Yarrowia lipolytica: one gene and its partner. The protein of the gene in region 1 interacts with the protein of each later gene in a biochemical or structural test. Links are inferred from orthologs where the notes say so. Each region holds a gene or a part of one and is shown in the gene's direction. Other genes may lie near its edges. The genes, in order: YALI1_E34708g and YALI1_E39306g.

Region 1 (4,263 bases):
TGATCCGGCATCTCAGTAGCAGGTAATCGTGGAGATCCGTGCTCGTCGATAGCGTTCTCTCTCTGAAGCCACAGCTTCTGCTGTGTTCGACTTCGCTGTTCTTTGCGAGGAGTGGAGTTGGGGGTTTTCTGTGGCGATTCGCTAGTGACCACGGTATTACTTCCCAGGGTGTGACCCGATGAGCCGTCAGGATTACTCAGCACGTGGTGGCTAGAGAGCTCGAGAGTAGGAGCCTTCTCGGTGGCCTGCTGACTTAACCTAAGCGAGTCATAGGACGAGTTTCTAGATGCAGGGGTCATTTTGTTGTTAGAGAGAGGTCCAAGGCTCCTAAGCAGACCCAGTCCCTCGAACGATGGGTTCCTTGAAGGATTTCGAGAAGGGTTTCTGGAATTTGCCCTCGAGGGATTACAGGAGTCACTGACATTCTTGAGCTCAGGGGAGTCGGGGAACTCTGACTCGTCGTACACCTCGCAGATATTCTCCTGGCTACTTTCGGGGTCTCTGGGGCCATCTTTCTCGACAGACTTACCAAGTCTCTTGTTGGTGATGCCAGGCGCGCTCTTGGGGCTCACGGGAGAATCAGCAGATCCAGGCTGGGCATGCTCATGGTGCTCCACATGTCCTCCATTCTCGTCGATCAGTACATGTTTCTCCTTGTGGATGTTGTTGCTGGTCCTGCGAACCTCTGGCTCTCCTGCCATCTTTTCCTGCATGGCCACCACGGCCTCCTCTCCTTCAGCCATGGTCTTCGACTCCGTGTCAGCCACCTCTCCGGGTATGTCGTTTGCGTAGACCCCATTCTGCTGGTTTGCGTCGGCCTGCTCCTGTTCATTGATCTCTGTTCCGATAGCCAAACGGGAAATGTCTCTTGTTAACCCATTGGCTGCAACTCCGTTATCCCCGTTATCCTCGTCAACCTCCTCCTCGTCCTCTTCCTCAGAGCCCTCATCGTCGCTCACAGGAAGTCCGATGACGACCTTGCCGCCCTGCCGCAAATGCACGGGTTTGTCCTGCTCCTTGGACTTCTGTTGCTCCTCGTTCTCCTTGTCGTTGGCCTCTTTTGATGAGGCAGGCTTGGGAGATGTCTCGTTGTGATTGAGCTTGTCGCTACTGGCGGAGGTATCCTGCTTATTGCTGTTGCCGGAGTTGGTTCGGGTCATGCTGAGATTTGGTCGTGCTAGCCGTTGAAGCGAGTCTGACGATCGAGCCTTGCGCTTAGTGAGACTATCGCCGCTCCCCTCCTTTTGGAGCCCCGAGAGATGGGTGGAAGAGCCGCGCATTTTGGTGAGGTTGCGGGCCGAGGCAGTTCGATGCTTGCTCGATGCCACGTGTTGTTTTTTGACTACCATGGGCCTGGTTTTTGCTGTTGCGACTTTATCGTGGGGTTGTCGAGGCTTTTCGATGCCGCGCATCATGGAGTACATGAGGCTCACGTAAGCAGAACCAGATATACTGTAGGCACTCGTTGCAACGCCTGGAAAGAAAACTGCAATTTGAGTAATCGGGCTCATCTAACTATTATGTATATATTTATATCTACATCCCATAGTTTTACCCTTGCCTTCTATTCAGTCATGTTTTTATGTCCTATATATGCCATTCCAGTCCCCACTTCAAATGGCTTCGCTCTTTATCTGCGTTGGCTCCGACTTCGTAGACTGACACCACCTACCCTAATCCACCATGTCTGACCTGCATAAGGCCACCGCTATCACACCTGCTAGATAGTATCTCTTTCCAGACGGTGAACGAGCAACCGACAGAAAATGAACGTCACGGAAACTGGTAAGGAATACATTACCACAATGGTCGGGGACAAGTCTGGCAAGCTCAAGGTGTTGCTGCTAGACGGGGAAACTACCCCTATAGTTTCCATGTGCACAACCCAATCGTCTCTACTTCAAAATGAAGTCTACCTGATAGACCGAATCGACAACCCCAATCGAGAGAAACAACGACATTTGGCGTGCATTGTGTTTATCCGGCCCAGCAACGACTCCATTGCCAAGCTGTGTGAAGAGCTGCGGAACCCTCGATATGCCTCTTACGAGCTCTACTTCTCCAACGTGGTCAAAAAGTCGCAGCTGGAACGACTGGCTGAAAGTGACGACTATGAGGTGGTCAAAAAGGTGCAGGAGAGCTTTGCTGACTTCCTGGCCGTTAACAAGGATCTCTTCAACTTTTCTCTCACCAGAAACTCGCTCTCCATCTACTCCGACGGAGGGTGGAACCCCGAATGTCTCAACAGATGCACAGAGTCATTGCAGGCTGTGCTGCTGGGTCTCAAACTGCGACCTCAGATCCGATACGACGCCAATTCCAATATGGCTCGAAAACTTGCCGAAGAACTGGCCTACGGCATCAAGCAGGAAGAGAACCTGTTCAACTTCAAAACTCCCAGGGACTCGGCGCCCGTCCTGCTTATTCTGGACAGAAAGAACGATCCCCTCACGCCTCTATTGACGCCCTGGAGTTACCAAGCCATGGTCCACGAATTCATCGGTATCGATAACAACCGAGTGGATCTCCGTAACACGCCTGAGATTCGAGACGAGCTCAAAGAAATTGTTCTTTCTCAAAATGATGATCCTTTCTTCGCTGACAACATGTACCATAACTTCGGAGACCTGGGCCAATCCATCAAGGATTATGTGTCGCACTATCAGTCTAAGACACAATCAAACATGGACATTGAAAGTATCGCCGACATGAAGCGATTTGTGGAGGAGTACCCCGAGTTCCGACGACTCTCAGGTAACGTTTCCAAACACGTTACTCTTGTGGGAGAGCTCTCTCGAATTGTCGAGAAAGGCCAGCATCTGGACGTCTCCGAATTGGAACAAACCCTTGTGTGCTCCGACTCCCACAATGACTCTCTCAAACAGATTCAGCAAATAATCGCAGCGCCCTCCATCTCCATGGAGAACAAAGTGCGCCTGGTTGCTCTTTACGGTCTGCGATACGAGCAAAAGGACAACAACTCTCTCAAGCTCCTGTGTGAGATGCTAGGACAGTATGAGGGACAAGACGCAGTGCAGGCGGCTCAGGCAGTCATTAATTTCGCATGCCTCGCCCAGAGACAAGAGGCTCTCTTTGAAGAAGGTTTCATCGCCAAGGCCAAGGGAAACATCATGGGTCTTAAGGGTATTCAGAACGTGTACACTCAACATCGGCCCTTGTTAGAGAAAACCTTGACCAATCTTGTCAAGAACAAGCTGCGTGAGGCTACACACCCCTATGTACGGGGAGCAGGCCGGGGCCCAGTTTCCAATAATGGAGTCTATGAGGATGACGTGCAGGAGGTAGTGGTTTTCATTGTCGGCGGAGTCACGTATGAGGAGGCTCGTCTTATTGCCGAAATTAATTCCCAGTCGTCTGTCCGTATTGTTCTTGGGGGCACTTCCATTGTCAACTCTGGCGAGTTTATTCAGGAGTGTTTGGACCAGAACCACAGAGGACTCTTGCGTGGCGCAGACCCCGAAACCCGACTTAGGCAGCTGATATAATTTATATTATTTTATGATTGATGATGGTGCACTTTAGGCATTGAGTGCCTGGGTCAAAATTGGTGAGGTTACATAGCAGATTGGAGATGAGTTGTACAAGCTACCTCATGCGGACATAAAAGCCGACAATAAAGGTTGTCGTAGTTGCTGCGTAGACTAACCCCCTGCACGTCAACAGTGCATTGTTTCCTTCTACACTTTCTATATTTGAACTGCCAGATATATACGAACAACATGTCAGGGGCAACATAACTGATTCCAGCCAGCGATACCAAAAACTGAATGAGAGCAATTTCAACCACCTCTCGAGCTGTCGCTTTTGGAACACTGGTGAAACATTGATACCTCTTGTGGCAAGTCCAGGGTACCATCGCTACCACCTTTGGAAAACGAACACTCTCTCTGACGATAAACCTCTGACGATAAGCATGTATATATAGGCCCCTTTGGCAATGACTCACTCTCAGACAAAACATCTACTCTCTCACTTTTGACTATGCAGCTTTCTGGAATCATTCTCACCACTCTTGTCTCTGTTGGCGCAGCATCTAAGGCCACCACCCTTGCCGTGGCTGCCACCATCCCCACAGATGAGGTTACTGCCGCCAGTGAGGAGACTCTTGATGATACTTACTACCAGTATATCAATAACCAGGTTATCTACCAGCCCGAGGACAACCGAAAGACTGACAACCGACACCAGGACAACCGACGGGGTGGCCAGTACTCTGACAACCGATCTGACAATCGAGATCAG
Region 2 (3,633 bases), about 460 kb from region 1:
CTTAAGCAAGATCGTCTCGAGCCCAGGTGGGGAGAACGAAGGAAGCAGAGTGGATGTCCTTGTTGTAGTATCGGTAGAGCTTGGACTCCTCCTCGGGAGAGACGGATCGAAGGGGCTTTCGGAGGTTGGCGTCCTTGTCCTTGGAGCAGACCATGAAACCAATCTGGCCGGAGGGGTAGGTGGGGATGGTGCAGTAAGCGTAGTCGGCGGAGGGGAAGACCTGCTTGCAAGCCTGTCGCAGCTCCTTAATGATCTTCATGTGCAGCCAGATGGACTCTCCCTGAGTGGTGATAACACCCTTCTCGGTCAGAGCACCGGAGAGGAGCTCAAAGTAGGGCTTCTGGAAGAGAGAGGCGGCGGGACCCTCGGGGTCGGAGGAGTCGGTGATGATGACATCGAAGGTGTTCTGGTACTCCTGGAGGAACTTGAAGCCGTCACCAATGTGGACCTTGGTCTTGGGGTGGTTGAATCCGACAGACATGGTGGGGAGGTACTGCTTGGAAACACGGGGCACGGCCTCATCAATGTCACAGAGGACAGCCTCCTCGACACAGTCGTGCTTGACAATCTCTCGCAGGACACCACCGTCACCACCTCCAATAACAAGCACCTTCTTGGGGTTGGGGTGGGAGTTGAGAGCAAGATGCGCAATCATCTCCTGGTAGGCGTACTCGTCTCGCTCGGTGGCCTGGATGGCTCCGTCAAGGACGAGAACGTTGCCGTAGTCGGTGGACTCGAAAACCAGAACGTCCTGGTACTTGGACTTCTCAACGTGGAGAATCTGGTTGACACGCAGGGCCATGGCCTGGCCAGGCCACATGGTGTCACTGATTTCTCGGAACCAGCCGTCGACGATGGAAGGGTGAGTGAGCTCGGTCATGATTGCTGTTCGTGTGTGGAAAAAGGCGGATCTGGAGATGGCCTTGGATCGAAGTAGTCGCAACACTTTTTATATAATGGGGGAGAGCTCAGAAACTCTAACCGCAAAAAACTGTACCAACTGTTATGTCATGCAGGTTCAGTGGGACTAACTGTAGCTACTTGTAGTCAGTGGAAGGTGTGCGGAGGGAACGGGGTAGGTACGTCAATGGAGTACCGCTTCAATATGGCCACGTCAACCGTACAACAGTTGTGCGTCTGCCATTATTTTTGCAATTGTTTGGACATGTTTTTCGCGTGTTATCCCTTATGAGCACTGTCATTTGGTTTAGCCACCACCAGCCACATACCCTGTCTAATATACGGCACCTCTGCTCTCGCTTCATGGTGCAACACATCCTTGTTGCTTTTTAGCCTCTTGTTTCCTCATGTGCTATCAAACTAAAGAAGCTCGGGGAAACATCCAATGTGCGAAAAATCCGAGCGTGGGTTGCACATGGTGAGACGAGAAATTAAAAGAGAGAGCCAAGCCAAGCCCACAAGCGAGCATGTGTGCTATTTCACCCGCCCGCGATTGTTGTCGTATATATACTCCGGTAGCCGCTTCAAGGCCTCTAAACATGCAAGCTAGCATAGATAGTGGGAGGCTACAATACCCGTAGTTTCCCCTGTCTGGACACGTCTAGTCTAAAACACCTGCCGCTCTATCTTCTCGCGCTATCTGACTCACTCAACGGCCAAACGGCATGCTGTACAGGCCAATGTCGGAATCGCAACCTTTTCAGTCCGCGCCTCTGCACAGTGTGTGCCTGTCAACGGCCGAGTGGTTGCCGAATCGGTACTGGAACCGCTGCATGGTGAGTTTAATGACGTAGGTGATGTGCGAATTAAAAGATGAGTGATCACAAAATAATGGTGAGACTTGAGGGCGTCATTTGAGCCCCTTATATACCTCGAAATCCAATTCCAAGAACAGGGTCGTGTTCGTAGCCCCCAAAATGGTCATCTCCCAATCTCTGAAAAATGGACACATCTGACGCATCTCATAACCTATAGTGTAATATCAAGCTCCACGTCAGGACAAGCATATCACCACATTGCAAAAGGCAAGGCAAAGGCACATGTTTCGAGACAGAACAAACCTGTATATTTCCTATCGGCAATCGTTCCCGAGGTCGACCCGACAGCTTCTAGCAACACATGCGTCCGATGAGGAGGAACAGGGACTAATCGCCAACTCAGACAACACCGGTGGAGCCGATGAGATTGAGCTTGCCCATATGGGCAACTCACTGGCCAAAACCATCTCAGACGACGTCCACGGCATTTTGAGCGAAATCAAGGTCAAGGTCAATCGACTGGAGGTTCTCCACCGGAAAAACTCGCTCCCTGGCTTCGATGACCGAAGTGGTGAAGAAAAGCTCATCTCAGATATCACCTACGACATCACCCAGGACCTGCACCACTGCCAGGGCATGCTGAAGAAGCTGGACCGACAATCCGGCGATCCTGTCCAGGACAAGATGCAAATGAACGCCAAAATCGCCCTTGCCACCAAGATTCAGGATGCGTCCACAGTGTTCCGAAAACTGCAGAGTAATTATCTCAAGGCTCTCAAACGAAACGAGGGCAGCATGGACCCCATTTTCCAGTCGACCACTTCCAGTAACACCCACGACGAAGATGTTTCCTTGTCGCAGAAGGCACTTCAGCAATCTCAACAGCTCATTGAAGAGGACGACCAGAGCACCCAGAACCATCATATCCGACAACGAGAACGGGAGATTGCGCAGATTGCAGAGGGTATCATCGAGCTGGCAGAGATCTTCAAAGACCTGCAGACTATGGTCATTGACCAGGGAACCCTGCTGGATCGAATCGATTACAACATTGAAAACATGGCTGTTAACGTGAAACAGGCAGATAAGGAGTTGGTCCAGGGAGCGGTGTATCAGAAGCGATCCAACAAGTGCAAGATCATTCTGCTTCTTACACTTGTGGTTGTGGGTCTCTTGATCGTGGTAATTGCCAAACCAAGATCCCATACTGTCTACGTGGAGCCTGTGGCTGGCAAACCGGCCCCAGCCCCTCCAGCTAATGACAAGCCTGCTACTGGAGGCGACAACAAGAACAACAATAATGATAGACCTGTAGACGAGCCCGAGAAGGGTTCTCAAAATCCCCAAGATGATGGTGCAGATTCTAGACCCGTCGTTTCTCACGCCCTGTTATGACTATGACATATTTATAATACTATTTACATGCATTGATTACAGTAGTCAGAATTACACTTGTAGAAATTAGTCAATGGATTCGAGCTTCTCGTCAATCTCAGAGATAAGCTCCTTGGCCTCGGTCTTCTTCTTAAGGGACTCCAGGAATTTCACATGACCAACATAGGATGTCTCCTGGAACATGCTGGAGATGCCAATACTAGGGGTCAGAGGCTCTTCGGCCATGCCATGGGCGTAGGGAAACAATGCCAGCACTCTCTCAGTGGCACGCTTGCTGATCTGGTCAGTCCACGAGAGGACCTTGTTAAGTCCCGCAATGTTGCCCTCCTTGGCACACTGGACCAATGCAGTCTCAATGGCTTTCTGGGGAAAAGAAGAGTTCTCGGAATGTCTTAGAAGTCGTGCAAGTGAAAACATGTTAGCCATAGCCTGGTGGTGTGGCCGGGTAACCTCGAATCGAACAAAAATATCATCCTGCTCAGGTCCCTTAGCTGTAACTTCGTTCTTGGTACATCGAACG

The links.
Region 2: the proteins of YALI1_E34708g (region 1) and YALI1_E39306g form a complex in vitro, tested with the Saccharomyces cerevisiae proteins (2 studies listed by BioGRID). The link is inferred for Yarrowia lipolytica from reciprocal best matches to the Saccharomyces cerevisiae genes VPS45 and TLG2.

The regions. Positions count from the first base shown.
Region 1 is NC_090774.1:3,468,366-3,472,628, reverse strand, and holds YALI1_E34708g (uncharacterized protein), read left to right. Parts: upstream 1-1,766; coding exon 1,767-3,506; downstream 3,507-4,263. Other genes in the region: YALI1_E34711g (uncharacterized protein), read right to left, coding at 1-1,511; YALI1_E34686g (uncharacterized protein), read left to right, coding at 4,003-4,263. UniProt on the Saccharomyces cerevisiae protein: Essential for vacuolar protein sorting. Function in membrane traffic between the Golgi and the vacuole.
Region 2 is NC_090774.1:3,928,668-3,932,300, forward strand, and holds YALI1_E39306g (uncharacterized protein), read left to right. Parts: upstream 1-2,000; coding exon 2,001-3,113; downstream 3,114-3,633. Other genes in the region: YALI1_E39295g (uncharacterized protein), read right to left, coding at 2-880; YALI1_E39333g (uncharacterized protein), read right to left, coding at 3,180-3,633. UniProt on the Saccharomyces cerevisiae protein: t-SNARE that functions in transport from the endosome to the late Golgi and on the endocytic pathway.